2 linked regions of the Tamandua tetradactyla genome follow. The protein of the gene in region 1 interacts with the protein of each later gene in a pairwise test. Links are inferred from orthologs where the notes say so. Each region holds a gene or a part of one and is shown on either strand. Other genes may lie near its edges. The genes, in order: CEP76 and SALL2.

What was found.
Region 2: the proteins of CEP76 (region 1) and SALL2 interact in binary tests that used the Homo sapiens proteins (3 or more experiments, as listed by UniProt). The two-hybrid records come from large-scale screens. The link is inferred for Tamandua tetradactyla from reciprocal best matches to the Homo sapiens genes CEP76 and SALL2.

Annotation. Positions count from the first base shown.
Region 1 is NC_135344.1:76,581,678-76,596,940, reverse strand, and holds the start of CEP76 (centrosomal protein of 76 kDa), read left to right. Parts: upstream 1-8,103; 5' UTR 8,104-8,167; coding exon 8,168-8,230; intron 8,231-8,468; exon of another isoform or gene 8,469-8,595; intron 8,596-8,917; exon of another isoform or gene 8,918-9,149; intron 9,150-9,462; coding exon 9,463-9,618; intron 9,619-11,717; coding exon 11,718-11,799; intron 11,800-12,414; coding exon 12,415-12,639; intron 12,640-13,740; coding exon 13,741-13,926; intron 13,927-15,263. Other genes in the region: PSMG2 (proteasome assembly chaperone 2), read right to left, coding at 5,229-5,400, 7,803-7,859. UniProt on the Homo sapiens protein: Centrosomal protein involved in regulation of centriole duplication. Required to limit centriole duplication to once per cell cycle by preventing centriole reduplication.
Region 2 is NC_135340.1:34,912,763-34,928,121, forward strand, and holds SALL2 (sal-like protein 2), read left to right. Parts: upstream 1-7,610; 5' UTR 7,611-7,707; coding exon 7,708-7,774; intron 7,775-8,151; coding exon 8,152-10,958; intron 10,959-11,404; coding exon 11,405-11,812; 3' UTR 11,813-12,881; downstream 12,882-15,359. UniProt on the Homo sapiens protein: Probable transcription factor that plays a role in eye development before, during, and after optic fissure closure.

The sequences.
Region 1 (15,263 bases):
GGGAAAATAAATGGAAACTGGCACCAAAGAATCAGCTGTCATTGTAAGAATGAGAATGTTTGTTCTCTGAGGCCAGCACGAAGCACTGTAGGAGTGAAGCCAAATCTACTACAAATGTTAGCAGGTAATGTGGAGTATGGCCAGGACAGCTTGACTGAATAGTGATCTCTGCAAACTGTCAAGAACCAAATCTCAGAATTTCCCTTTCCATATTTATTAAACGTTTTAGTGTAAATGCTAAATTATTCTCTTCACCTTAACGATTCATCCCAGGCATCCACTGCAGAACCATATTATGTGACAACACACGGGTGTATACATGACCCTCTTGCTCTCCTTCTCCTAGGCTGAAACACATACAAAACCTCTATTTCCCGTATGCTATCACAGAGTCTATGACTGAAAATCTCTAGTTTTGTTTTCTGTTTAGGAGTTACTACAAATGTCCTCAAAACTGAGGACATAAAACTTTAATGTCCTCAGTTTTGTTCTCTACTTACGAAAGGCAGCTTCAATGTCCAATATCATCTTGTCTTAAAAGTAGCCACAGCAAAAACTAAGGACCAGATGACCTTTCAATAGGACAAGCAGACCAAAATTTGCCAAAGCTAAAAGAGATTCAGCATTATCTTTTTAGTGCTTGAGTCTTTTATCATTCTATCTCCAGCCTTTAGCTTTTTCTTGGCCTTAGTCCAAAATACCAAGGTACTCTCTGGGCAGACCGAGATTTTTATTACTACCATAGATTAGATCAATATTACTACCACAGATTAGATCAATGTATCTCAGTGAGTTTATTGTTTCCACATCACAAGATGGAACTTCCTTGCCTGGAAGCCATTTCTAAATACAAAGGGTCCATTCAGTAAGTCAGATTGAGATCCCCCACCAGAGGGACAGATGCTGTCTAATCAAATTCCTGTGCAAATTGGGGGCTGTGGCTTCTCCGATTGCAACTGAGGATGAGAAGGTTGCTGTCCCCTGCTGAAATGGACGGTGGCTTCATCAATCAACATAAGAGGTATGTAGTTCTGCTGGGCTGGTATGGGTCCCATGCATCAGCCTAATCTATAAAATGTCAATGTCATCTACAGTCTGAAATAGGTCCCGATTGAACAGGTCAGATAAAGGCTTGCAACTGTAATTTGCCAGACATTAGTGTAATTATAATACTGAACCACTTATTCAAAACTAAGGGGTTTCTGTCCTGTGGAAAAGGGCAGAATGTGATCGTGAGTGTCCCACTGGAAGAGACAATCAATTTCCTAGAACAGTGGGAAATAGTGGCAAGCAACATGACCTTGATCAGCTCCAGTATGTGGCCTGGGGTTAGGGCACTAGGGTGATCTATTATGGCTTCTTTGTCTGCTTGGTTTGGATCCTGATGGGGACTATCCTGCTCCTTTGGAGAAAAATCGTTCACCTTCACCGCGCTTCTGAGCCACAGCGTCATGGTGCTGAGACTCGGGCAGGTATTTCCTTCTTTCCTTTGGAATTTTCCCTTCTGCCTCTAGTTTAGCCTGGGCTTGCCTTCTCTTAAGAATATGGTGGTACTGTCTGGCATTAACATAGGGAGGCTCTTCTTCGAGCGTCTCAGCTAGGTAGGGGGATTCTTTGTATAGCCAGCACACACCGACCCCAGGCACCATCATGACCATCCCTCCTGAATTGCCCATATTGCCTGCTACCAGTAGTGTCACAGAGACAGTCCCTTGTCCACTGCTGGTTGTGTTGGTGTTGGCTTCTGTCTGAACAATCTGTGCTCCTGCCAAGCTGGCAGCTGGGATGGCAATCATGAACCGAAACAGGGACTATAACTTGCTGGAGAATGGTGCCATCTGCATTAACTGGCTGACAGAAAATGGTCTGCCCTTTCTGGTACTATTTTCCACTGTACCAGGAAATTGATCTTCTCTTTCAGGGGGATACTCATGATCGCACTCTGCCCCTTTCTATAGGACAGAAACCATTCAGTTTTTAGTAAGTGGTTCAGTATTATAATTACAGTAATGTCTGGCAAATTGAAGTTGCAAGCCTTTACCTCTTGTTGCTTCTGGCCAGCAGTCTGTGGCTGGGTCTGGCCCTGCTGACCCTGCACCTGCACAGCCTGTCCACATTGGATCTGGATCTGTCTGGGTGGGACCAATTGTATCTGCTGTAAACCCTGTGTCCCAGATACAGGTACTTGCATGATGGTTTGATCTTGTCCACCAGGGACAGCCTGGACCATGATGGGTTGGCCGGATGATATGATTAATTGGCATTCACTGACTTGCACCATTAACGGCTACCCTTGGAGCTGCTGCTGAATCTGTCTAGCCTACACAACAATCTGTTCTGTGGAACTATTGCTGTTTGCTATATACTGCTCCATGATCTCTCCAAGTCAGAATATCTTCCACAGTGAGCTTTGCTCTGGAGATCCTAGAAGACTGCAAGGTGCAGTCCGTGCCTCGCTCCCCTGGTTTGCTGCCCATGCTGATTGGCTCCAGTATCAAACCCCAAAACCCAATCAGAGGCTCCTGATGCTGCCTCGCAAAATTTATTATAAATAAATTTTGATACAAAATATCAAAAAGTATTTTTCTTCAGACTTTACCTGTAAAACTAGAGAAGCATTCATCTGGAAAATATTGGTATTAAGACCAATAAAATCATCTCTAATATGCTAAACTTTTTGGTTTTTGAGGACATCTAGGTCTTTTCTGATATCCTTCTGTCTTCTCTTTGGAGGACAGCCACACTCACTGGGATTAAAAGAAGAATGAAATGTAGGAGCATGTTAGCCGTATAATAAATGTTCTTCAGTTCTTGAAAGACTTGAAATAATGTGCAAAATGTTCTGTGAGTTAATGTGTGCGCATTTCATCTGGGAAAAGGACCTATAACTTTCATCAGATTCTTTAAGAAGTCCACTTTAGGGATGCTTCAGGCTACCCTGCACAATTTCACCTCCAAGAGTGAGAAGCTCTGATATGAACCAACAACAAAAATAGGTCTCTAAGTGTTTAGGCCACTGTGCTAATGGGTATGCTTTTTGCTACTATAAAGCAATTACAAATAGCACTAGACTGGAGCAAATCCTTTGGTAGGTCATGTTTCTCTTGGTTTAAGATCTTTTGTGGGACTGTCTCCTTGTGGCTTGTGTGGTGTGGAATGGTTGGGGGTTAAGCTGTACTCAGCAAGTCCAGTGAGCACCATTATGTTCAGAGCTAAAGAGGCTAGAATGGGAGGTAGTACAGGGAAAGGCAGGGAAAGGAACAGGCATAGGGCACTCCTCTAATCGATATAGATCTAGGTGGGGAAAGTATCTCTGGGTGGCCAGGCTAAGCTTTTTTTTGACATGGGCAGGCACCAGGAATCAAACCTGGGGCTCCGGAATGTCAGGCAAGAACTTTGCCCGCTGAGCCACTGTGGCCCACCCCAAACTAAGTTTTAAAATGCAGATATACCATTTTTTATAAGAGCAATACCCATACCCTTCAATTCTATATCATGCAACTATTTTTGTTGCTAAGACCTTGATACTTTCTTCTGATGTGATACAGTATGAAAGCAACATTACTTTTATGTGTTCTAATAAAAAATATTTAACTTAAACCTAATCAATCCTCAAGATCAAACTTTCAGTTTTAGAAAATACAGGGGCTAGACCCACAAGCCAAATGACACCAGAAGGAAGTAATCAGGTAAATGCAGAAGGTGGGAGAGCCTGTAAGACAATGGGCCAGTCTGTGTCAGAGGAGAGTAAGTGGACCTTTAAGTAGAGCAAAGGTGCGCTAGCAGAATGATGTGGTGCTTAAGAGGCAGGTCTCTGGAGCCAGACTGCCTTGATTAAAATCCCAGCTCCACCAATTATTAATTATGTGACTGAACAAATTACTCAACTTCTCTGAACCATGGTTTCCTCATCTATAAGACTATCTTTTGGAGTTGGCATGAGGATTAAGGGAATTAACACATGTAAAGTGAAGTTGTGTCCAGCTCATAGTAAATGCTCAATAAATGATTGTTGTCATTAGTGCAAAGTATAGGACTTCTAGTACCACCAGTTTACCCAGATAAGCATTCATCTGGAAAATACTGGTATTAAGACCAATAAAATCATCTTTAAGAATGCTAAACTTTTTGGGTTTTGAGAACAGCTAAGTCTTTACTGATATTCCCCCGTCTTCTCTTTGGAGGACAGTCACACTCACTGGGATTAACAGAAGAATGAAATGTAGTAGAGTGTTAGCCATATACCTTCTAAGGCAATAACTAAAATTCAGCCTTTCATGTTAACAAAATCATCAATCTTATGTCAACAAAACCATGGGTTTTATGTTAACAAAACCATCTCTCCTGCAGGAATTTCAATTAAGATTATTTCTCAAAAGTTCATTTCATCATTGTAAGCTAAGAATAAATGACAGGGTTAATAAAACTGACAAAAAAATAAAAATATTTCTTCATTTGTACTTCAATCCACCAGGCATCTCTCATGGGCCCCATCACCTTTGGCTTTGACCTTAAAATGTTAAACAGAAGATAGAGAGGCTAACAGAGCCATCAACAAAGTGGATATTCCTGTCTTCAAGAACAACAGGTGTCTTTCCTCTGTTCTCTTGGTTCTCTCCCACATTATAACCAAACAGCAGTCAGTGCAATGTAAATTATGTTCCCTAATTAAAAAAGTCTGATTTGTCCAATGAAGAATTACGGAAATTTATGCTAAGTCAAAAGTCTACACCAGGCATTAGAGAACTCAGACTCTCAGGGTCTTATCATCTATATCATAGTATTATGGATTCTATAGTTAAGCAGCAAGAAGACTGAGGCTTAGAAGAGGGAGCACATGCTAAGCATGGAGGACTGCACCCTTTTCTTTTCTCCTTTTCCCAGGTATCAGTGGTGATAATTATACATGCCAGTAAAAACAAAAAATAAAACTGAGGATAAAAGGGAAAAAAAAAATCCACGTTGGGATGGAAGGGTAATAAAAAGAGGAAATCTTAAAATTCTAAACAAAGATACAAAGAACAATTACATCTCTTGTAGGAGTTGCCATTTAGAAAAGAACAAGAAATAAAACCAGGATGTAAGAGAATAGGACAGTGCAACTAGGTTGTACAATCTGCACAAAGCTGGCACTAAGTAAATGTTTGCTTTGAAACAGTATTCACAGAATCTATCCTAATTTAAAACAACTCTACCAGGTAGTACAACAAACCATTCTGAGGCCTTACCTTCAGTATTTGTACTGAGTTCTGTTGAATTTTCTTCCTCAGTTGCATATGGGTTGTTCCCAACCATCGGCACAAGACAATCAGTATAGAAGTAACCAATCTTAGACATATTCAGTGTGGAAATAATCAGGTCTATTGCAAGCTGACCAACATTTCCAACAGATACTGCTGGCTGAAACCATAAACGATGATTAATAAGTCGTAGGAATTAGTTACATTTAAAAAAAATTAGAAGGCAATCACAGCACTAGTTAGTACTGAATAGTTATGCTCAGGTGCCTCGCTTGATACACTTTCTTTAAGGGTAACAGAAATGTCATCTGGGCCATCTCCACGTTTGAGGCCACTCATTTAACAAATACTTGTTGATGACCTACTATGTGTCAATTATTGCTCTAAGCACTGGGGAAGCAGTAAAACAAATCAGACAAAAATCCCTGCTCTTGTGGTGGAGTTTTCATTCTAGTGAAAGTGGTTTACTTATAATAAACAATAAACTGGTAAAATATATAATAAAATATACAGTGGTTAAAGCCAAGAAAAAGGATATCATATATGAGTGTGTGTGTGTGTGTGTGTGTGTGTATGGCTGCAATTTTAAAAACAGTGACAGAGGAAAGACTCACTTCAGGTGACAAGTACCTAAGACCTAAAGAAGGAAAAGGAGAGTCATGTAATAACCTGGGAAAAGAATGATGCAGGCAATGGAAAAGAAAGTGTAAAAGCTGTAAGGTATGAACAAAAGCGTGTGTGAGTCTTCTTTCAGTTTGCTTTGTTAGTGCCTTTTTCTGCACACTCCTATAGCTGGAGTGAATTTCACATTAAACATATATGCATACGTGTGCATGTTTCGTGTGTATATTCACACATACACAGACTTACCCCAATTGACTTCAAACAACCCAAATGCCAAATTCCAACCTCCCATCAGGACACCTGCCTGAAACCCAGAGCCTAATGGATAGCTCTATGTGTTTATGTCACAAGCAGCTCACAGTCAACAAGTAAAAAACTAACTTTTGCCAAAACTTGTCCCCCATTTTAAAGTTCACAAAATAGCAACATTATTTACTCAATTACCTAAACCAGGAAACTTCCTCCCTTTCCATTACCAACTACATCTAATATCTGACTAATTTTTATTGATTTAACTTTTTATTACAGCTTCTCCTTTGCATTCATCCAGTTATTGCTTTTCTCTGGACTTCATATATTTTGCTGGTTCCCTCAAAGTGGTCTCCCACATCTTATGCCATCATGTACTAATTTCTTGTTTACCCTTTTCCCTTCTCAATTAGCTACTCTGCTTGTAGTCTCTTTGTATTTCTCTGTATCATCTCTCTTTTCCCCACTATCAGATCCTTCCCATCGGCATATAAGCATGCTCTAATACTGTTTATTCTAAAAAACCCTCCCTTGACCCCACCTCTCTAACTACCACCTCAATTCTCAGACTCCCTAGATTGCCAAAATTCCCTGATACTGGCCACTAAAATCTAAGCAGAACTTTATCTCAGAATCAATGAAATACATATATACACAAGTATCCATGTCCTCTTCTTTCATATATTCAACCCAACCTGATACAGCTTCCCTCTCTACCACTCCACTAACTGTCTGCCAGGGTTACCATGAGTAATCTCGCTGCTAAACCCAAAAGGACACTTGTTTCAACTTACACAATGTCTGGACTATTTTTGACAGATGTCCCTCCCTCTCTCCTGAAACACTCTTCTCTTTGGATTTCTGTGCTTGATAATTAATATATAAAAGAATGACTGTTGTGTCTCTCTCCAGCTTTGCACCACTCCAAACTGCATTCTCCAAAGGTGCCTCCTGGGTTTACAGGCCTGCAGCCTACTCTGTCTCAAAGTGCCATTCCTCACTCTGGGCCGTGCCCCAGAACCCCATGCTTTTGTGCCTCTGGTTTAAAAAGTCCATCCTTCTGGAATGCTCTACTTTCTACCCCACCCCCCAAAAAAGCCCCACTTTCCTCGCCTTTTAGACATTACTTTTCTATGAAGTTCTTCGTAACAGGCCTCCACTGGACTGTAAACTCCTCGAGGCCGGGGACCGAGTCCTATTCTAACGTTCACACCTGGCAGAATGTTGACTGAAAGGACGAATGAATGTAGCCAATTGCAAAAGCAATAAAACCGTGTCAACTACGAGCAAAAACGTCACTTTCATTACTATTACCACTTCCATTATTCTTTTTTCACTCTCATTGTTTGTAAACCTACCGCCATTCACTAAACTGTAGGCTAGTACAAACATGGCCCAAGCGTGCATTTATGGCGTTTCCCGACAGAGGACTACTCCTCTCTTTCGTTCTCTGGTGAATGGCTCAAGGCGGACCCTAGAAGCAGCTGGAAGATTTCCTAGGATAAAATTTAAGGAAAATGCGCCGCACGAACCAAGTGCAGGGTCTGCGTGATCTCCGAACATAGCACGTTTTACCACCAAGACTCCCTCGGAAGCAGGAGTCGGCACTGCAACGGGCCCGCCGCCTCCGCCGCGGCTGAGGCCGAAACCCGCACCGCCCGTGCCGGCGAGGCGGGGCCGCGCACTCACCATCAGCAGAGTGAAGCCCGCCAGGTCGGGGGCCGGCTCCCCGCAGGGGACGAACATGGCCGCGGCGAGAGGAAGCGCGAGCGAGCAGAGAAGGACCCACGCGCGCGCCGTCTCCACGCGACGCGCCCCAGGGGCCCGGCCGGCAGGCGGGTGGAAGCGAGGCGGGGTCCTTCGTCTCCCCCGGCGCCGGGCTCGGGGCCTTCCGGGGCGGCGCCTGCGCGCTGGGCGGCGCGGGTCCCGTCAGGCGCGGCGCGGGCAGCTCTGCCGGCGCTGCCCGGGTCTGAAGGCGGTTGGGCGCAGCGCGGTGCTGCTCGGCGCGTCCTGCCGCTGGCGGCCGCGGGGTGGGCGGCCCGGGCTCCGTCAGCATGTCGCTGCCCCCGGAGAAGGCCACCGAGCTGAAGCAGCTCATCCACCAGCAGCTGAGCAAGGTGAGGACGCCGCGGGCGAGGGCAGGCCGGGTCGGGGCTCGGAGGGGACGGGAGCAAGGGTTGGGGCCCGGGCGTGAGCGGGGGTCGGGGCGGGTCGGGGCGAGGCAGGGTCGGCCGGGGTGGGAGCTGCGGCCCGGTAGGGCCGAGCGAGGGTTCGGGCAGGGTTAGCGTTGGCCGGCCTTCGGGGCCGGCGTGGGGACAAGCCGGAGCGGGGCTGGGGCTCCCAGGTGGGCAGGGGATGGACCCCTCCGACGAGAGCCTACAGAGGGTTTGAGGCGATTTTGGTATTGCAGGACGGCTGTGAAAATGAAGCTCTTATCGAGTGATTTCCGATAGCCAGATAGTTGAGGATGTGTTTGGAGCAGGTGTTTTTAAATTCACGGATCAGACGTTGGGATTACTCTCAGGGTGGTAGTGGGGATGCCGTTGAAGTTGAGTCAGTAGCTTAAAGCGCCACTTCGCGGAGAAATCGTGGAAGAGAAGTGACTAAAATGTTTGTAAGGAGAGTATTCGGGATACTGCGAGCTCAAGAATGACACTGAGTCTTTGAGTGCCCAACTGAATGCATTATAAGTTGAAGGAAGAAAAATTGGACATGGAGATAATTTTAATATAAGCTACCATTTGTTTTGCACTAATTTGTGTACCAGATTTTACACTCAGTGTTTAGCACCTTTTATTTAAACTTCATAACCATCTTATAAGAGGGTAGCATTTTTTCCCATTTTGTATATGAGGAAACAGATTCAGAAAGGGAAAATAAATCGACTCAGGGTTACACGTCTAATAAACTGAAAGCTATAATTTTGACTTTGATTTGCCCTGTCCAGGCTTCTGTTCTTTGATTATTCTCTACTCTTTCTCAAAATATACGTCGTGTTGAGCATTGTTTGTGGAGAAGTGGTAACAAAGACAACAGGTAGTCAATAGACTCTTTTTCTAGAATTTATACTGGAAGTTTCATCTTTTAAAAAATTACTTTGTTTCTTCCTTTTAAAATTTTTACTTTTATTGTCATTGAATTGTAGTTACAATTTTACATTTATCCTTAGCTTGAAACACCTAAAGCTCAGGCTCCCCAGATGTGGCCTTTTGATCTCCTCCTCCCTTTTTTTTTCTTTATTACTGTAAGTTAGCATTTTAGAAAGAAATCAACATTAGCAACATTTGGTTGCTTTGATAATCTGTGCTCATTAGGAGTAAAAGAAATGTAATGCAAGTTTTCTACATAGATGGATGTCCATGGCAGAATAAGAGAAATCCTTGCTGAGACTATACGTGAAGAATTAGCACCTGATCAACAGCAGTTATCAACAGAGGATTTAATCAAAGCCCTTAGACGTCGAGGAATCATTGATGATGTGATGAAAGAACTTACTTTTGTTACTGTGAGTAATCTTTTGGGGTAAATAATTGAGAGTGTAAGTGTATTCTCATGCTTACCACTGTTTATAGGGTCCATATTTGGGACCTCTGCTGTTAGTAAGACCACTTTAAAATAAAGCTGTTTTGCAAATAACATCCTTGTTTTAAGTATAAATTGACACTATCCTTGAGCAAAGCATATATTATTAAACATTAGTGAAATTGGAGTTATATGTCATATTCCTTTTTCCATGGTGTCAGAATTTCCTCATTATTCACTAGGGTCAGTAACTTTAAATATGCATGTTTCAGTCAAATTAGTTCACCATCGAAGTCCTTTTTCACTAAACTTGTTCTGTAATTTTTTTGATTGACACTTATTTTTTTAAAAAGCTTTGGGGGGAAACTATGTTTTCTATGATTAACAAATTATCAATCTCTGTAAGTAAATAACTGATTAAGGTCTTTCAAATCTTTTCATACAAATAGGTCAGTAGTGGCATGTTAGCCTCTCAGTGCACGATTAGTAAGTAGGCCTTCTTTTGAAAATGAGGCAATAATGAGAAACTGTGACCTCAATACCTGGGTAATATAACAAAAAATTAAAATGGGCTTGGTAATACACTAGGGAATAAGTATTTTAATGCAGTGCCCTTTTTTGGTTTTTGAGGTTTATAAACCTGTTTGTTATAAAAATTGACCTAATAACAACTTTTGCTGTGTGACTGCCACTTCCTTATTAAAATCAGTTCAGGATGGAACATAAGCCAGATGTTATATGTGGTTTAGAGAAAGTTTAACTTTTTAGCACTTCTGTGGATAGCATTTTTAAAAAACATTTTTTATTGTGGAATAATAAAAAATCACTTTATACAGGAAAGTGATAAATTTCAAAGAACAGTTTAACAAGTAGTTATAGAGCAAATTTCAAAGTAGTGTGGGTTACAGTTTTACAGTTTTAGGTATTTTCTTCTGGCTGTATTAATGCACTAGAAACTAAACAGAAATATCTGTATAATGATTCAGTGCTCATAATCATTTGTTAAGTTCTAACTTTTCTGTTACAACTCCTCTCCCTCTCATTTGATCATTCTCTCTGTTTTCAGGGATATTTGGTCAGTGACCATTCTAACTTCATGTTTAAAGGGGGTGTTGACATTATGGGGTATAGGGTTGCAACTGGTTGATGTTCTGGGAGAAATAGGTACCTCTGAGTTTCAGGGCTTATCTGGCATAGGAACAATCTGGAGGCTTTAAGTTTCTGAAAAATAAACTTATAGGTAAAACTTTTATAGAGTCTTATATAGAGCCCTGGGTTTTCTTTAGGGTTTTTCAGGAATGCTGTTGGTTGGGGCTTAGCATACCATGACACTGTAATATCTGGGATGGCATTGTTTGAAGACAGTTTAATTACTTAGTGTTAGGAGTGATCAGTTGCATCATCTTTTATGGAGGCTTTTAAGATTTTATTATTTTCATTTTCTAGGAAAACAAGGGAGTTTTTGGTGGGTACCTTATCTTACCTACTCTTGATTCAGTGCTTTGTCCTATCATTGGCATTTTCTTCCTTAACCATAATTTTTTTTTTATTAATTAAAAAAAGAATTAACAAAACAATTAGAAATCATTCCATTCTACATGTACAATCAGTAATTCTTAATAACATCACATAGTTGCATATTCATCATTTCTTAGTACATTTGCATCGATTTAGAAAAAGAAATAAAAAGACAACAGAATAAGAATTAAAACATTAATAGAAAGAAAAAAAAAAACAAACAAAAAACCTATACCTCACATGCAGCTTCATTCAGTGTTTTAACATAATTACATTACAATTGGGTAGTATTGTGCTGTCCATTTCTGAGTTTTTATATCCAGTCCCGTTGTACAGTCTGTATCCCTTCAGCTCCAATTACCCCTTCTCTTTTTTTTTTTTTTTTTAATTAACGGAAAAAAAGAAATTAACCCAACATTTAGAAATCATACCATTCTACATATGCAATCAGTAATTCTTAACATCATCACATAGATGCATGATCATCATTTCTTAGTACATTTGCATCGCCTTAACCATAATTTTTGTTTTCTAATTTGTTTTGATTTTTTTGTGCCTTTCCAGGACAGTGTTGATCAAGAACTCCCTTCCTCTCCAAAACGACCGGCTTGTTTTACTGATAGACAATCAACGTTGTTAAAAAAAAGTATGTTTATTTTTTTTTTAAAGTATTAATTTAGTTGTAGATAGTAATAGATATTGATGTGCTATAGTGTTTGATATTTGATAATAAAGTTTCAGTTGCATTTGTAGGAAATAAAATAATTAAAATTTTGTGGTAATCAACCAAAAACTTAAATTCAGTTTTGCATGAAATATCTCAAGACTTAATGTATAACACAGTAGAAGCAAAACTGGAAGTTATTTCTTAGTTTTTGATAGTATATTTTGTATAGCCTTATTGTTATTTTTTAATGGTAATATAAGCACCTGACAGGTGCACTTGCTTGTCTTTGATAATTGTCTAAGATCGTTTGTGGAGGTGAAGAAATGTTAGATAACAGCGAAAAAGTAAAGGTACTGAGCCTGGCCTCTGATCCCTTCCTAGCTGGGAGAAAGTAGACAGAAGGTAAATTCAGAAAAGACTGTCATTATGTATCTCTTCTTCCCAGTGTGTAAATGATCCTGGTACACAGTAAATTGTTAGTCCTTCTCTATTTTTGCCTTTGGTTTTAGTTCTGTCAAGTTAATTCCTGTTGTCTTGATCACATTCCTCAAGTTATTTTGGCAGTTTCCTCATATATATTGCTACACTTTACAGCTAATATTGATCCAACACGGAGGTATCTTTACCTTCAGGTTTTGGGTGGAAAAGCTTTCTTGGAACATCTGCAAGAACCTGAACCTTTACCTGGACAAGTTTGCTCCACCTTTACTTTATGTTTGCATTTTCGAAACCAACGTTTTCGTTCTAAACCTGTTCCATGTGCCTGTGAACCAGATTTTCATGATGGCTTTTTACTTGAAGTACACAGGGAAAGCTTAGGTAAGGAAACATGCAAACTGTTGTTAAACTGAGTAAATCCTGGTTGGGTTTTATTATAGAACAACTCATAACTTTTGCTATAGGGGAGATTTATAATGGATGAAACTCCCTAGTCTTTTTGTTTTATTTTTTCCCTTTTACTCTTTTCTGTTCTATTTAAATTACTTTTACTCACCTTCCTGCTTTTGTTCTTTGTTTGCTAATTTATGTTCTCCTCAGATTAATTTAACTATTTTAATTGTTGGTTCTTTTGTAATATGTGTTTAATGCCTATTACGTACATGGCACCATGCTATATGGGGATATAGTGGAGCCTGAGAGAGATCATTTCATCTCATCTCATCTCATTTTCAAGGGATGGCTAGTTTGAAGATGTTATATAACTTTAAAAAGACAAATTTAGATTCAAATCTATAGCTATCTTGTTTTTTTATCTTATTTTATAGCTATAAAATTATATAATACTTAATTCCTGTCATTGTTTTACCCTATGTCTTTCTATAAAGGCAATTATACAGTTTAGTTGCCAATATAGAAATCTTTGTATTAGAAACTTAACAAAATGGTAGAATTAAACGTTCAGAATTTCAGATTATTAAGATGGCTGATAATGCTACTAAAAATTATTTTTTCTAACAGAGTAAAATGTTAACTTAATAAAGTAGTTAATGGAATAAACCACTATATCCAAGTTTCAGGATTTTTCCTTTTTGTGTAGATAATCCAGTGTTTATTTCTGGAGTTTTTAGAAATAAAGGTAGTTTGGGAATTAAGGTTGATGGATTTGAAGGCTTTTTATTGTAGTGGCATATACTTTAAGTTCTTTTTAAGAATTGTCTTAGCTCTTACAGATCAGAAGGCACTGCTGTGCCGTAAGTAAATGTGTAACTTGTCATGATTCCACCAGTCCTTTCAAATGTTATTGATAGAAGTAGGACTGTGCTTTTATTCCCAGTCTATTGCATGCTTTCTGAGGTATTACTAAATTATTTTATTTGGTTTTATAAAGTCATTATTTAGTATACTTTTCAATAAAAGTTTTTTTTTATGTTGGCTAACTGAATATGTAATATGTTATAATTTTCTGTTTTATGTTGCTAGGTGATGGAACTAGAATGGCTGATTCAACAACAATGTTATCAATAAGTGATCCAATTCATATGGTACTAATTAAAACAGACATTTTTGGTGAGACTACTTTAGTAGCATCCTATTTTCTTGAATGGCGATCAGTTTTGGGCTCGGAAAATGGAGTGACCAATCTTACTGTGGAACTTATGGGTGTAGGTATGAAGATTTTGTATCACCTTTACTTTTTTTTTTTTTTTCATTTACATGGGCAGTCACCGGAAATCGAACCCGGGTCCTCTGGCATTGCAGGCAAGCATTCTTGCCTGCTGAGCCACCGTGGCCCACCCTCACCTTTACTTTTTTATATCTGTAGTTTGTAAATACTTTTTAAATGCCTTTTTAAACCAAATCATGTAAAATAGAATTTCATTAGGAAAATTAGAATTGGACTCCAGCCTTGTAGTTTTAGGAAATGTCCTGGAGAATAGTCTGAATGTAACATTTCACTATCAATATGGCCTTCCTATAAAGAAAACTTTTCTGGAAAATAAATACATGTTGAGGTGTTTATTTGCCTTATATATAAAGCTATTGCTATTCTTGACAGCTGTTAAAAAAAACAGATCTAGTGTACTCCAGCATTCCTGGAAATACAGCATGTCCCCCTTAGCGCCATTTGTTCTTGCAGAATGTGGAGTAGGTATAGTTCTTTCAGCCTGTCACACATGGGGATTAAGACTCTAAGACGTGATTACTTGCTCAACACTAGTGTCATTGAAGAATGTTCCTTGAAGGCAGAGTTGATGGGTACCTATTCTCCACTGTCCCTGGAGTCTTGCATACTGCCTGATATGTAAACTTGTTTATTCTTAAAAAGAGAGGCAAGGGTGGGCCCCGGTGGCTCAGCAGGCAGAAATCTCACCTGCCAACCTGAAGACCTAGGTTCGATTCCTGGTGCCTGCCCATCCAAAAAAGAAAAGAGAGAGAAACAAAACCAAACCTTTCAGTGTTTTATGCTTAACATATAATGGAATTGCTTTGGTCTTAAACTTAGAGTTAAACCTGGCCAATGGGCTGTATACTCTTATTAATTTAAATGTTGATGAGTCAGACCCTGAGTATGTTTTTCCTTAAATAAAAAGTAGAGAAAAAATTTTCTTTATGTAGAAAATTTATTTTTGAAAAAATGCCTAGTTTTTGTCTTCACAAATAGCCATAACATGATAATTGTAGTAATGCCCCAGGAGCAAGCATTCTAATTAAAAAAATAGTTCTGATGGGGAGGGTATGTATTTTTCTAATTTTTAAAATCCAGGCATGGATTGAAAATTTGTGCTGATATGTGGGAATGGGGTAAATGGGAATTTACCTTATGTGACAAATTTAATAATGAATATAGAAGCCTTCTTTTTTTTCATTGAATAAGATTGAGCAGTTAATATTGCTTTGAATATGCTTTTACTGTGAGTCTGGCTGGTATACTTATTTTTTTACTTTTTTATTGTACAATATGACATATATACAAATCAAAGAAAGAAAAAAGCTATAGTTTT
Region 2 (15,359 bases), on another chromosome or scaffold:
TCTCTGAGCAGACAGCACAGGGAGAAACCCTGAGCCCTCACAGAGAGGAGAGGGTTAAATCCTTTCCTCTGCAGTACAAAAGAAAAGAGTGTGCGGAAAGATTAGGATTTTTGCTTTTACAATGGGAGCTGCAGAAGCGTAGGGAAGAAGCTGAAGAAAAAAAAGGGGGCGTCTCCCCTTTAAAGACTTGCAGAGATTGAGAGAGAAAGAGAGAGAGAGAGAGAGTCAGGGACAGAGTCAGAGAGTCTGTCTCTGAGAAGGGAGAATATCTCTTCACAGTGATTTGCACTGGGGAAGAGGCATCAATTGGCTTTAGACCTAAGGGGGAGACTGGACCAGGTCACCCCAGTTAAGACTAAGTGAGCACTGCCCCTCCCTTTCCCATCTCTCAGCCCGGGAATGTCTCGGCGAAAGCAAAGGAAACCCCAACAGTTAATCTCGGACTGTGAAGGTCCCAGCGCCTCTGAGAACGGTGGGTGCCTGGGGCAGGGGGGGAGCAGGGAGGGGAAGGGACGGGGGGTGGGTATAAAAGGGGGGGGGAGGAGAGCTGAGCCCAAGCCTGTGTGGGTCAGAGCAGGGCAAGGGGAGGGCGCCCAGGCCATGGGTGAAAGCAGTATGGGGAGGTCTTGGTCATTGGGCCTTTGAAAGAGTTGAGATGCAGGGAGTAAGGAGAGGACCTGGCCTGGGGAGAAGCACTGCTTGGCTTTTCTCAGGATTGATTATGTTTGTGTTTTCCTTGTTGTTTTTCACTGGATGAAATGGAGTTTTCAAACTGGCTCTGTCTCCCTGCTCAAGAGTTTTCTCCCCAGGTCCCCCTTTGCTCACTGGTCTTTGTGCCGTTGCTAAGTAACGTCCTCAGACCTGAAGACTGGCTCTTAGGAGTGGGATTTTCCCCCCTTTTCTTTTTGGAGAGTTGGGTTGCAAGAGAATGAATTGGAGAAACGTGAAGGTTCCCTTGAGGGAGAAAAGAAAAAAAGTTTCTCATTGTTGGGCTGAGTTGAGAGCAGATCAGAGCTCCCAGAGGGGAGAGCTAATGTCGGTCAGAATGCAACCTGGTTTGGGGTGTGTATATCTGTGTCACCTGGGGTAGATACTGGAAGAGCTTGTCAGGCTCTGGATGAGGGGCTTAGTTGTGTGCTCCAAGGGAAGCCAAACTAAAAGCAATGTGTGGGTTAACAGACCCATGAAGCCAGGTGTATCATTTTTTTTGAGGATATTATCATTTGTTGTTTAAGCAACGGACTTTCTTTATGAGGAATTTTTTTTTTCACATATTCTTATAACATGCAAATGAAAGCTGGGCAGACAACAGAGCAACTGAGATATTCAAAAGGGACGTTGTCTATCAACTCAGAGACAGCAGCAGTCAGGACAAAAACTTAGGTTTCCTGAAGATCTGTGTCAGTGGTGCTTACTCCACTAAATCAGGGTTTCTTAAACTCACTTGATGGTAAGTAGATCTGGGATAGGTCTAGGAATCTGTATCTTTTGCAAGGATGCAGGTAATTTTAGGGTCAAGCAAGTTTTGGACTCTCTGGTTAGAAGTGTGGGTACATATGTGCACATCCATGATAGTCTGGAAGACCTGGCCCAGGGATCAACTATGTATTTAGCAAGCAGTTGCGCACCCAACAATCTAGTGTAAGGTTAAGAGCCGAAGTTCTGAAGCCAAACTGCCATGGTTTAAATTCCGGCTTCACTGCTTGCCTCAGTTTCCTCACCTAAAAAATAGGGATGAGTATACTAGCTACCTCATTAGTTTGTTGTGAGAAATGTAACAAGTTAACACATGTAAAGTACTCAGAAAAATACCTAGCATAAATAAGTACTTAGCATATGTGGGTATTATTATTACGTTAGTACAGTGGCACTTTCTGCAAATGCTGAAATTTGATGAAAGCTCAAGAAGTGCTAGGTGAACTTCAGCATTTCTTTATGAGATGTGTGCTATGAAAAAACTCTAGGATACAGTCAGTCATTTGTAGTGATGGACACTCTTTCATGGATTAAACTTGCCTTTTCCACCTGTTTTTATAAAAAGACTTGAAAGTCAAATCAGGGCTGCATGGATGATGGAACAACCTTAGGCAGATTGTGTTTTGGGTAGAACACATCCTCCCCAAGTCACTGCTTTGCTGGGATCCCACTGTGCCCATATTTAGAGGTGGTGGTAGCATCCTCCCCTCGGGGGACACATTATCCCTCCTTAATGCTGCTACAGACCGGATGCTTCCTCCTAGTGCCCTTATAGGAAACTTCCCCTAGAGCCTCAGAGTTGCCTCACAATCCTTATCCCCTGCTGGTTCAATTGTGGAACAATTCTGAACCCCAGTAGGCATCCTCCCCTCTCCTTCCCACTTCTCCCTTGCCTGCTCATCCACTCTTTATACCACAGCTGAGGAAAAAAATCTTTCTGTGAGAGTGTCAACAGGAATCTTTAACCACTGCCTTGAATGGATTCTCAAACCCTTTGAGTTATATCTCTCAAGATCTTGGGGCGGTGAACACTTCGGGGCAGGATAGCCACCCCCAGTGTAGGCTTGAACCAAAGGCAGCAACAAATTTCAGTTGAAATTTAGCCTTTGAGTCAGGAAAATCAGAACCATAAATGTGAGGAGCAAGAAAGCCCATCTCTTTATTAAGAATTACTGATTGTATATGTAGAATGGAATGATATCTAAATGTTTTGTTTGTTAATTTTTTTTAATTAATAAAAAAAGTTTAAAAGAAAGCCCATCTCTTAAGATATACCTTAAGAAATTCAAAGGGTTTTCTCATCAACATTTCCTTGAGAGTAAAAGATCTTGGGCTACTAACATGACCTGTATTTGATCATAATCAAAATTCCTCCCTGTTCTTATAAACTTAAGATATATAAATCTCTCTTTCCCTGTCTATGCATAAACAGGGTTTCTATTCACTTATGCCATCTTCAGACTCCTGCCTTACCCTTCTGCCCCAGAGACATTTTCTACATGCCTCAAAATTAGGAAAGACTCTTATTTGGGGAACACTGTGTCCTTTGGTGTATCAGTGAAATTATAAGCATCATCATGATCATCAGCAAACATTTATTTAGTAGTCTAGCGTGCCACTAATGTTTCCAGGAGTCTTTTGCCTTATTTTAAACAATGTTTACCACACGCGGACAAGCAAATGCTGAGCCTTTGTTTAAAAATGTTTGACATTTTTAAAGCCTCATTTCTGCGGCAATCTAGGACATCACCAAGAGACAATCTGAAGAACCTGTTTAAAAGCCCTGTTTTTGCTCAGATTCCCTGTCCAGAATGCTAAAACCTAACTGAATAGTTATTACACATAAGCAATAAGCAGGAAATAGTCTATTTACTCTGGAGAGAAAAAAACTCTCCCTCTCCCCTTCAGAGTATAGAAATCTGAATTAGAGAACATAAGGGATGTAACTGGGAAAATGCTAACTAGTACATCTGGGAAATAAAGGAAACCATCAGAAACCCAGATATTTAGTGAGAAGGAGAAACCAGGACAACAGCCAGACAGGTCTAGAGGGAAAGAGGGGACTGTTTTAGATGGTAGCTGGGAGGCAACAAGAGCAGCCAAAGAGGAGAGAAGAAAAAAATAGAGTTTTGAGGGTTCTGTTTTCTTCACATCTAGAAGCAGAAAGCCTCATCTCTTGGGCTATTGAACCCTGGGCTGCTCAGCCCTGGCACACCTGAGTCAGAAAAACACATTTCAGAGTAGATAGAAAGTAATCCAGGAATGGTACAATAGTACATTGGGTAAGGAAGCAGAAAAGCTGGTTTTCCATCCAGCTCGGGTCTTGAAGTTATTTGACCTTGGGCGATTCCCTTTTCTTCCTAGGCCTTTAGCTTTTGGCCTTTAAACCATAATACTCATAGCTAATATTTATGGAGCATTTACTATTTCTCAGGTACTATGCAGGCTCTTGACGCAATTCCTTTCATTTATTCCTCCCAAACCACCCCTCTCCCCACCCCCCACCCCCTTTTTTTTGCAAGGGCAGGCACCAGGAATTGAACCTGGATCTCAGGCATGGCAGGCGAGAACTCTGCCACTGAGCCACTGTCACACCACCCCCAACTCCCCTATTTTTATACCCATTTTAAAGAAGAGAAAACCAAGTATTAGATTAAAAAACTTTCTCAAGGTCACACATTAGGAACAACTAGAGCTGGGATTTTAACTCCGATGTCTTTGATTCAGAGTTGGGGCTCTCAACCACTGTGCTCAATGAGATCTCCAAAGTGTTCTAGTTCCAGGTTAAGTGCTGAGTCCTTTAATGCCAGAAAAATGCCCATAAAAAGATCCTTTTTGTATGTTTGGCCTAAGACGTTCCTGTTCTAGAAATAGATATATTTTTCTCACTTAGCAACAGGTCTACAAATCCTTGTGCCTTTTTGTCTACTCTGCAGCACAGGCCATAGATGCATGGCAGGTGTGGGTGGCAAAATATGTGTGTGTGTTTAGGAGAGAAAAGGGACAAAGAGAAAGATAGGGCATTCTCCTTTAGAAGTCGTCTATAACAGCAGCTACAGAATTAAGTCATAATTATGGGAGCTATCAATTAGTGTAGGTGCAATGTTAACTGTTGCGCTTTTGCATTGTGTTCTGTTTCCTTAATGGCTGCCTGTTGCTAGAACTCTATTGAGAACAAAGTCTTCCATTTGACAAACAGAATATGGCTCAAGATGCACATACTCTAAGAAAAGCAATACAGTCACTTAAATTCACAGTCAGGAATAAAGTCAGTCCAAAGAGGCAGGTTTTTCATAGATAAGGGTAGAGGAAAGCTAAAGCGTAGCTGTGGGCAGAGTAGAGAGGGATCCTACTGGAAGATTTAGCACTTGGCAACTTTCTGTGTGTTCGAGTTTTGCCCAGGTTTAGCCCAGGAAGATTTGAGAAGAAGAGTGGAAGTTTTGATGGAAAAGACAATCCTCCTATAGCGGTTCTCAACCAACCTTGGCTGTACGTTGGAATCATGTGGAAAGAGTTAAAAACATGCTAATACTTGGACCTCACCCTCAGAGATAGTGAATTAATTAGTCTGGAGTATGGCCTGGACATTGCGATTTTTTAAAGCTCTCCTGGTAATTCTGATGTGTACCACAGTTTGAGAACTACTGTTCAAACATACCACCCCACTGCACACTACCCACCTATTTTTCTCTTTGTTTTTCCTAAGCATTCTCTCCTAAACCTAAAGCTGCAGTGTGATAGGGAATCAGGCTCAAAGGGGGAAGCCAGCTGGTTTCCTTTTTCCTTGGCATTTTCAGCTCTTTGTAAACTTAAACAAGCACGTCCGGGTCTTAGACCTATATCCATCCCAGACTTTGCATGTGACCCAGGATAGCTTACCTCACCTTATCTGCTATCTAGGGACACCATTACCAGCTAAGTTGATTCCTGTGTTTGTGACTTCATTCATGTCTGCCTAAGAATCCTGCCCCCCTTTTCAGGATAGGCAGTGAGTGCAAAGTGCTGAGAAATAGAGGGTTCCTCTTACAGGTGGCTGATGATCCGTCACCTTTCACCAGGGACTAAATTTACCTTAAAGAAGAGAGCAGATCAAATTACACATCTGAAAGCAAGTTTCATTAAAGAGCAAGAAAGGGGACAGTGTTTCCCAGGAGAAGATGAAAAGAAAAGGATTTCTTTTCTTGTCGGAAGACTTGACAAAACAGCAACTTGATATCAAATGTTCAATGCTAATTAACAAATGCTCAGTAGAAAGCTTCCCTCTGATTCCCTCTCCCATACCGAGGCCAGAGAGCAAATGACACGTAGGAGCCACACAAGGCCCTTTCTCTAGCCTTAGGGAAGTTACACAATGTTGAGGTGCTTGAGAAAGTACTGGACAGGAGTCAAAAACCTGAATGCTTGCTTCTCTGAATTACTGTGTGAACTTGGAAAAGTCACTTAACCTCTCCAAGCTTCGATTTCCTTACCTGTAAAAATAAACCTCATTGTACTATCCTGTAACTCCCCATAACTGAAACAGACCTGCCTCTCCCTTATTAAAAGGGTCAGGTCTAGAAGCACAGGACCCCATTCGTTTCAGAGCTGCATTTCATAATCTTAAAATCCTCATGATTATCTGAGATTTCAAAACATAATTCAGTAAAATGTCTTCAAGTAAAAAAGATAGGTAAAAGTTATGTTGAAAAATGAAATGGATGTTACAAATATTTTAATTAGGTTGTTTCAGCTCCCCTCCCCCCCCAAAAAACCTCCCTGTCCTTGACAAATGTCAATGATACTCACCAATATCTTACCTCAGAAATTAATATGCAACGTTAAACAGATCTAATTTTAGTATATATGTATTTCAAGCTGACTTACTATCTATTTTGTTATTAACGATGCAAATTCTCTAACATAATTTTCATGGCTCCTCCAGTTTTTTTTAAAGTCCCATATACATGTATTAGTTTTATGCATCAAAAAAATTCCAATTTCTGTTCCCACAGTATTTCTCTGAGGAAGGTAGAAGAGCTACAGTATTACCACTTTACAAAAAGGAAACCAGAGGCATGTCTGGTGTGACTGACGGCCATGCTTTGATTTACCATTAGGGCAAGAAGAGAACTGGGATTGGAACAGTGTGTTTATTATGCCCATTCAAATCACAATTGTTGCCGGAGGAGCTCCGCCCTTTCCCCTCCCCGCAGGATAGAGCCGAGAGAGTTTCCGTAGGCCTCTGAAGGCTAGCATCTTCCCAAAACCAGCTGTCTCCTTAATAGTGACAGTGTGCGTGTATTGTAGGAGAAGGAGAATGGAGGGGGTGAGGGTAGAGAAGAGGGTACTAAATAGGAGACGGCTTCTTAAGTAAGCAGGAATTCCATAAATTAGGTGTTGTGTGATTGATCTGTGGAGTAACTTGCATTCAGCTATTATTCTGGGGGAGGAGGGGCCGGGAGCTAAGGGGCTTAATGTTCAGCGACAAGGAGTCCTGAAGTGACGTCCTTGGAAATTCTACTTTGCAGCCTCCAGCCCTCAGAAACTTATTTTCGAGGGTGGGCGAAATGGGCTGAGGGTGGAAATGGAAGTGAGGAAGATGGGACAAAACTTAGAGTATTTGGGGCTGTGTTGAAGGGGTGGATGTTTCGGGTCCGCCTTCCCCTCTGTCCCTCAGGCCTCTGAGGAGTTCAGACTACCCTCTATGGAGTCCTCTGGAGTCCGAGGATCTTTTTCCTAAGAAAAATAAGAGAATCCTATGGACTTGCTCTATTGAGCAGGGCTGTGCTCCCACTGTGCTTCCCTTAAGCTTGCCCGGGGCAGGTTTGGGCAAGGACATCTGGGGATGGGGGGAATTGGCAGAGAGCAAGGAAAGGTGGCCCCCCACAGGGAGCCAGAGCACCTGTCATTGAGCCTCCGGAAACCCTCCTCGGTTTATGGGTCCCGCCCTCCAGCTACTCTTCGCTCCCGCCCATCTCCCCAGCACTGGTCCCCACAAACTCCCCTTCCCAGCGGCTCCTCCCCGCGAAATCCCCTCTCCCAGCTTTCTCGCTCCAGCTCCTCCCCTCCTCCGCGTCTCCAAACTCCCCTCCCCCTCCTCCGCTGCTCCCTGCCCCCGCCGCCGAGCTCCATCGCCGCAGTCTCCGCCGCTGAGCGCAGAGGCTGCAGCTGCCCCGGCGGCTATCGCCGCCTCACCCAATCCCCATCCCTATTGTCTCCCACCCCACCCTGCCCTCCCCCTCCCCCACAACCATGGCGCAAGAAGCCGGGAGGAGCTCTCGCCTTGCAGGGCCCTGCGGGAAGCCGACGGAGCTCGGAGGTGCGGTAGGGCCCGGCCTGGGCAGGGGTGTGGAGGGAAGGGGGCGCGCGGGGGCGAAAGACTTTCCGTGGAGAGGATAAAATACACGATTCACTGCGTTGGTGTCCGCCCTCACACTCATCCCTTGCACTCGCGGGCGGTCCATGATGGGGGAGGGCGGCGGGCTGTGCGGGGAGGGTGTTGCTTGCGCGCGCCCTGCCCCACCCCCATCCCCGCGTGTGGAAGCGGGTCAGGACTGAGCTCTAGCCTTCTGCGTGGCCTGATGGTGAGCTCATCTCCCCACCCCCAACCAGCAGTTACTGGGCTCGTTAATTGGAGCCTCTGTCAATCCGTCCCCACCCGTAGCAGCCACGCTCTCCCTCCTTGTCTCCCCCCAGGTGATGCTAACGAGGAGGACCTTCTCCAAGTCTGTGCCAAGTGCTGCGCACAGTTCACTGACCCAGCCGAATTCCTCGCTCATCAAGACGCATGCTCTACCGACCCTCCTGTAATGGTGATAACTGGGGGCCAAGAGAACCCCAACAACTCTTCTCCCTCCTCTGAACCCCGGCCTGAAGGTCACAGTAGTCCTCAGATCATGGACACAGAACATAGCAACCCTCCGGATTCTGGGTCTTCCATGCCCTCGGATCCCAACTGGGCCCCAGAGGGGAGAGGAGAGGAGTCTGCCGGGCACTTCCTGGTCGCTGCCACAGGTACAGCGGCTGGGGGAGGTGGGGGCCTAATCTTAGCCAGTCCCAAGCTTGGAGCAACCCCATTAGCTCCAGAGTCCACCCCTGCACCTCCCCCTCCTCCACCCCCTCCTCCTCCACCCCCAGGTGTAGGCGGTGGCCACTTGAACATTCCTCTGATCCTGGAAGAGCTAAGGGTGCTGCAGCAGCGGCAGATCCATCAGATGCAGATGACTGAGCAAATCTGCCGCCAGGTGCTGCTGCTCGGCTCCTTAGGCCAGACGGTGGGGGCCCCTGCCAGTCCCTCAGAGCTGCCTGGTACAGGGACTGCCTCTTCCACCAAGCCCCTGCTACCCCTCTTTAGCCCCATCAAGCCTGTCCAAACTGGCAAGACACTGGCATCTTCATCCTCCTCCTCTTCCTCAGGAGCAGAAACACCCAAGCAGGCTTTCTTCCACCTCTATCACCCACTGGGGACACAGCATCCTTTCTCTGCTGGAGGGGTTGGGCGAAGCCACAAGCCCACCCCTGCCCCCTCCCCAGCCTTGCCAGGCAGCACAGATCAAGTGATTGCCTCACCTCACCTGGCATTCCCAAGCACCACTGGACTACTGGCAGCCCAGTGCCTTGGGGCAGCCCGAGGCCTTGAGGCTGCTGCCTCCCCAGGACTCCTGAAGCCAAAGAACGGAAGTGGTGAACTGGGCTATGGGGAGGTAATGGGTCCCTTGGAGAAGCCTGGTGGGCGGCACAAATGCCGCTTCTGCGCCAAAGTGTTTGGCAGTGACAGCGCCCTGCAGATTCACCTGCGTTCCCACACTGGCGAGAGGCCCTACAAGTGCAATGTCTGTGGCAACCGCTTTACCACACGTGGCAACCTCAAAGTACACTTCCACCGACACCGTGAGAAGTATCCGCATGTGCAGATGAACCCACACCCAGTTCCAGAGCACCTAGACTATGTCATTACCAGCAGTGGTCTGCCCTATGGTATGTCTGTGCCACCAGAGAAGGCTGAAGAGGAGGCCACGCCAGGTGTAGGTGTTGAACGCAAGCCTCTGGTGGCCTCTACTACAGCACTCAGTGCTACAGAAAGCCTGACGCTGCTTTCCACCAGTGCAGGCACAGCCACAGCCCCTGGGCTCCCTGCTTTCAATAAATTTGTGCTCATGAAAGCCGTGGAGCCCAAGAGTAAAGCTGATGAAAATACCCCTCCAGGGAACGAGGGCTCAGCCATCACGGGGGTGGCAGAAAGTGGTACTGCAACCCGCATGCAGCTAAGTAAGTTGGTGACTTCACTACCCAGCTGGGCACTGCTTACCAACCACTTCAAGTCTACTGGTAGCTTTCCTTTTCCCTATGTGTTGGAGCCTTTGGGGGCCTCACCCTCTGAGACATCGAAGCTGCAGCAGCTGGTAGAAAAGATTGACCGTCAAGGAGCTGTGGCAGTGGCCTCTACTGCCTCAGGAGCCCCCACCACCTCTGCCCCTGCAGCTTCATCCTCTGCCTCATCTGGACCTAATCAGTGTGTCATCTGCCTCCGGGTACTGAGCTGTCCTAGGGCACTACGCCTGCATTATGGCCAACATGGAGGTGAGCGGCCCTTCAAATGCAAAGTGTGTGGCAGAGCCTTTTCCACCCGTGGTAATCTACGTGCACATTTTGTGGGCCACAAGGCCAGTCCAGCTGCCCGAGCCCAGAACTCCTGCCCCATTTGCCAGAAGAAGTTCACCAATGCTGTTACTCTGCAGCAGCATGTTCGGATGCACTTGGGGGGACAGATCCCCAACGGTGGTACCACACTCCCTGAAGGTGGGGGAGTTGCCCAGGAGAATGGCTCTGAGCAATCCACAATCTCTGGGACAGGGAGCTTTCCCCAGCAGCAATCCCTGGAAGATGAGTTGTCTGAAGAAGAGGAGGAAGAGGAGGAGGAAGAGGAAGATGTGACAGATGAAGATTCCCTGGTGGGGAGAGGCTCAGAAAGTGGGGGTGAGAAAGCAATATCAGTGCGAGGTGATTCAGAAGAGGCATCTGGAGCAGAAGAGGAAGTGGGGGCAGTGGCGGCAGCAGCCACGACTGGAAAGGAGATGGACTGTAGTGAGAAAGTCATTCAACAGTCAGTTCTACCACTACCACCACCACCACCACCTGACAGCCTGGATCAACCACAGCCATTGGAGCAGGGAGGCAACGATGTCACTGGAGGCTCAGAAGAGGGGGGCAAACCAGAGAGTAGCTCAAGCCCAATGTCAGCACTCACCCGAGATGGGGAAGGCACCAGTATCACCATGGTGGAGGGGATGGGCATGCAGGAAGTGATGAGAAAGGAGCCAGCAGAGAGCAGCAGCAGAAAGGCCTGTGAGGTATGTAGCCAGGTCTTTCCCACCGAGGCAGCCTTGGAGGAACATCAGAAGACCCACCCCAAGGAGGGGCCAATCTTCACTTGTATTTTCTGCAAGCAGGGCTTTCTCGAGCGGGCTCCTCTCAAGAAGCATATGCTGCTGGCTCACCACCAGGTACAGCCCTTTGCCCCCCATGGCCCTCAGAATATTGCTTCTCTTTCCTTGGTCCCAGGCTGTTCGCCCTCCATCACTTCCCCAGGGCTCTCCCCCTTTTCCCGGAAAGATGACCCCACAATCCCATGAGCCCATTTCTCTGTACCTGCTGCCTTTGACCAGGGAGCAGAAACAGAGCTGCAGATTTTATGAGCCCTTATCTGTCCTTTTCTCTGAGTTCTTACATGGTAATGTCCCTAATGACTTTTCTCTAGTCCCTGAGCTTGGAGATCATTGGGCTCAGGGGGATGGTCCCCTTAGGAATTTTTTTCTCCCTCCTCATTCTTTGTACCTGAGGAACACAGATTCTCTGCAAGCTCCCACATTCCCATGGGGAACCTTCTCCAGCTTCCCTAGGGTGACCCTTTCTCCCCTCTCCTTTTTTCCTCTCCCTTTCCCTTTGGCAGGTGCAACTGAGCACCCACGTTTGGAATTGTAGCCCAGCCCGAAGGGGCCGGCAGCTGTCCCTGGAGGGCCCAGTGCCACTCCTCTCTGGTGACCAGGTCAACCTGCAGGACTTCTTGTCCCAGGATATTCCTGCCCAGCTGGTGGGGGTGGGTCCCCTATCTTTCTGGAACCAGTACACGGCTTTCCTGTCAAGTGGCCTGCCCACCAAGCCCCGGATTTCCAGCTCCTCCTCCAATATGGCTCCAGGCCCGTCACCACCAGTGCTGTTTGGCCCAGGAACTGTGGCTGGGAAGGTGCCTCCAGCAACGGGATCCAGAGAGGCCAAGGAGACGACAGCCCCCCTCCTCCTATTTCAGCCTCCTGTACCCAAGGCAGTTCTTGAGAACCCCATCATAAAAGACAAGTAGCAAACTGTATGTTCCTTCTCCCTCCCCCTACTCCAGAAGGTAAACAAAGAAGCTGCTGTAATTGGTGACTCAACCCTGGGGGGTAGGGAGATATGAAGGGCATAGGACACTCTTCTCAGTAAACCCCTTGATAGTCACATTAAGGCAAAGATGTTGGTGGTTGATATGCCAGGATGTCTCCAGCTTCTCATATTCCGTCATCATGGATTCTCAGAATTAGGAATCAAGCAGATTTCTTGCCAAGAGGTTTTCCATAGAATAATTTGGGAAATGTGAAGTTAGTTCATAACTTGAATGGGTGTTACCGATGAAAGTGGTTGATGGAGTAATGATGGAGAGTTGAGGAGTGTTGCTAAAGCATAGGGCCTGCTGGGAACTTATGTGATTCAAAAAGAGACATGATATAAGGGAGGGGATCTCCGGTTCTGATTGGATGGATCTCATGAGTGTTCTTTTGGGCCAATAATGACATAGTATGCAGCAGCATACCACGGATCATGGGAGATTTCCTAGCACTAATGTGTTTCTAGTTTTAGATAAATCTGTCCTTTATTCTCTGGTCCCTAGCGTTTTCCTATCTTCCTCTCAAGGCCCCTTTCCTCCTCCCCATTTTGCCTGTCCATAGACCAGAGCTTATGTCTTACCCACTGTCTGGTTCTTCGAGTCCCAGATTTTGGGAGAGTAGCTCTAGGTGGTGGCCTCCCTACTTCTCCACCTTGAATGAGATGTAGTATTTACTCTTAATATAGAATCATTTGGAACAGGAGTTCTGAGGAGAAGAGAATGAGAGTTCTGCAACTGACTGACTGAAATGATGACTTCTCCAAAGGTATAGGCTCCAGAGCTTCCTAACATAGTAAAATGTGAAGAACAGACAAGGGAGATATTAGTGTCTTTCCTTCCATCATTAAAGGTGTTTTGACCAAGTATCTTTGTGTTTCTCCTTTTTTTTTTATGACTAAATAGCCAGCTGTGATGTGATATGGGCATTCCTTAACATTGAGATTCCCTTCCCACCTACATCTCCTGCCAAAGCTGAACATATGTTGTTACAGTATTTAATTTATTCAGCCTGCCCTAAAAAACCCTCCAGTATATGTAATTTCTCTACAGAACCAGAGTTTGTGCTCTTCAGAGGGCAGGAGTTTGCCCACTGTGACAAGTCATTGTCTAGGTTTTTCTCTTTGCCAGTACAATGAGAATCTTCCTCTGCACTTCTGCATTGCATTGTATTTGGAGATTGGAAACTGCATCTTTATCAGTCTTTCTTTGCCCCCTAGGCCAGCCTAGCTGACATCAGTTATTTGTAGAAACAAAGTGAATTAATCTCCATGATTCTTGAGATCTGATGTAAACAGAAAGGACAAAAAATAATTCAACCCTAATAATTTCTACCAACAAGATAAAGGAGGATTCTTAGCATTAGGAGTGCAGAGGAAGCACATCTGGAAGTGAAATGAAGCATGCATTTTTTTCTTTGTCTCTCCACAACATAGTAAGGTTCAGATCTGTCTCTGAGGCCTTGCTTTTCTAAAGAACATTTTCCAAAAAAATTTTTTTTGTATTTTTAAGATTAAGTTATCATTGAATCATAGTGCTAAAGGAACAGGACCAGTGAAATGATTTGTCCAAAGTCATTCAATCAGTTAATTGCAGAGTTGGATCAAGAACCAAGGTCCAGAATCCCCATCTAGTGCTACTACTAGTGATCAGTAGATTGCTGCTACATCATTAAAGATACCTGGTGTGAGGCTGGCTGGAAGACAGAAGTGAAGGAGGTATGTAAGCCTATTATTGGCTCAATTCAAGGTCAAGAACCAATGTTCAATTCGAGTTGCTCATACCGAAACAGTGCAGTTCCCTTTTAAGATGTAACTGATGAAAAGGAATCCATGGGATTTTTGTGAGGCCCACTACGGAAGAAACAAATGGCTCCTGTCTCTAAATCCTCACAAAGCCTTGTAGATCTGTTTTTCTTTTCAATCTATGGAATGAGGTAGGTCACCAATCTTTCCTTTCCCTTTATTTCCCCACCCCCATCAGACATAAATTATGCCATTTAACTTTAGGTGCCAGATCCCATATGGTAACAGCTGTCAGTGAACCTTTTATTGATGGATTCTTCCTCGAGGTCAGCACTGAGTCTGATGGCCTCCCATCTTCTCGTAGCTATACTTGTTTTTCATAGCTATACATTGTTTTCTCTTCTGCTTCCTTTTCATTCTTTTTCCTCTCCTGCTTTGCCTCTTTTTCTTGTTTCAATTTCCCTCTCTTAATCTGACAGCTTTTATTTCTGCTTTTTTCTTCACCCTAATTTATTCTTTTTCTTAAAGCATTTAATTTCTTGCAAGTCTTCCTACCCACCCCCAGCCCCACCATTTTTCACTCTCAATCACTTTTCACTGGTTATCTTTTCATAAGGTAAATTAATTCTAACCTTCTGGAATGAGTATGTAAATAAATTCAGCTTGCAGAAACACATTTTATGAAATAAAATTAAAGGATTCAATGTTGATAAAACAAGCAAGATATAGTTTCATTCATTCAGTAAATTTTTGAAGATTTACTTTGTTTCAGAAACCAAGTGTTGGTTAGATACAAAGGTAAATAAGATATACTCCTTTCCCTAGAAGAGGACAGACTAGGAGGAGAGAAAATGTACATTTACTTTTAGATAGTGATAGTAAATACTATGATAGACACAATGTTCCATGGGATGCAAGAGAGGAAAACAACTAATTCATAATACAAAACTGGAGAAGGGGGAGGGGGTGTACAGTTCTCTTGATTTCAGTTTTCATAATAACTACTTTGTTACTTATTAACATACAATAACCTGAGACCAATGGAGTTACAATTTAAGAACCTATGTAAGTTCCTCCACCAAGCCCCTTTTAGTAGACATAGAGATGCCCTGCCTCAAAGATGCCTGTTCAAGACAGATCCGACTACATAGCTGGAAGGAACCTGGTTAGCTGATTGCCTCCAGTGGTCTCATTTTTCTTCAGCACTTGGCCAAAGACTAAGCAAGGTGGTGGTGAAAGGATTTAGCCATTCTCATCAAATATGGGAATCTAATGAGCAGTGTTTCTTCCAGAACTCACTATTGATCTGACAGAGAATATCAGGTCTAAGTTGTGTCACAATCTGATATCTCTCCCTATCTAATACCACTTTTTCCTCCTTTTCCTTTTTACAGTTGTTGCTCCCCCTCCCCCAATAATGCTTCTTGAATCCTAGCACCTGCTTTCCAGAGAAGTCAACTTCTGACAGCCCCCAAAAAGGCCCACATTCTATTGGCACATTTTTTTTCCTCACAAACTTCTGCTCCTGGGTCTCTGGGTATCACCCCTGGAACTTCCTAATCAACCAAGAAATATCAGTCTCCTGATACCCGAAACAGACTTCACTAGTCTTTCTTTACATTAGACCCATCTTTGATTCCCCATGTCTTTTCTAAACTGTTAGTTTAGCAACAGTAGAGTCACTAAATCTAGAGATATTTTGTTTTGCTCAGAGAGTAAAAAATTGAGTATTAACAAAACAA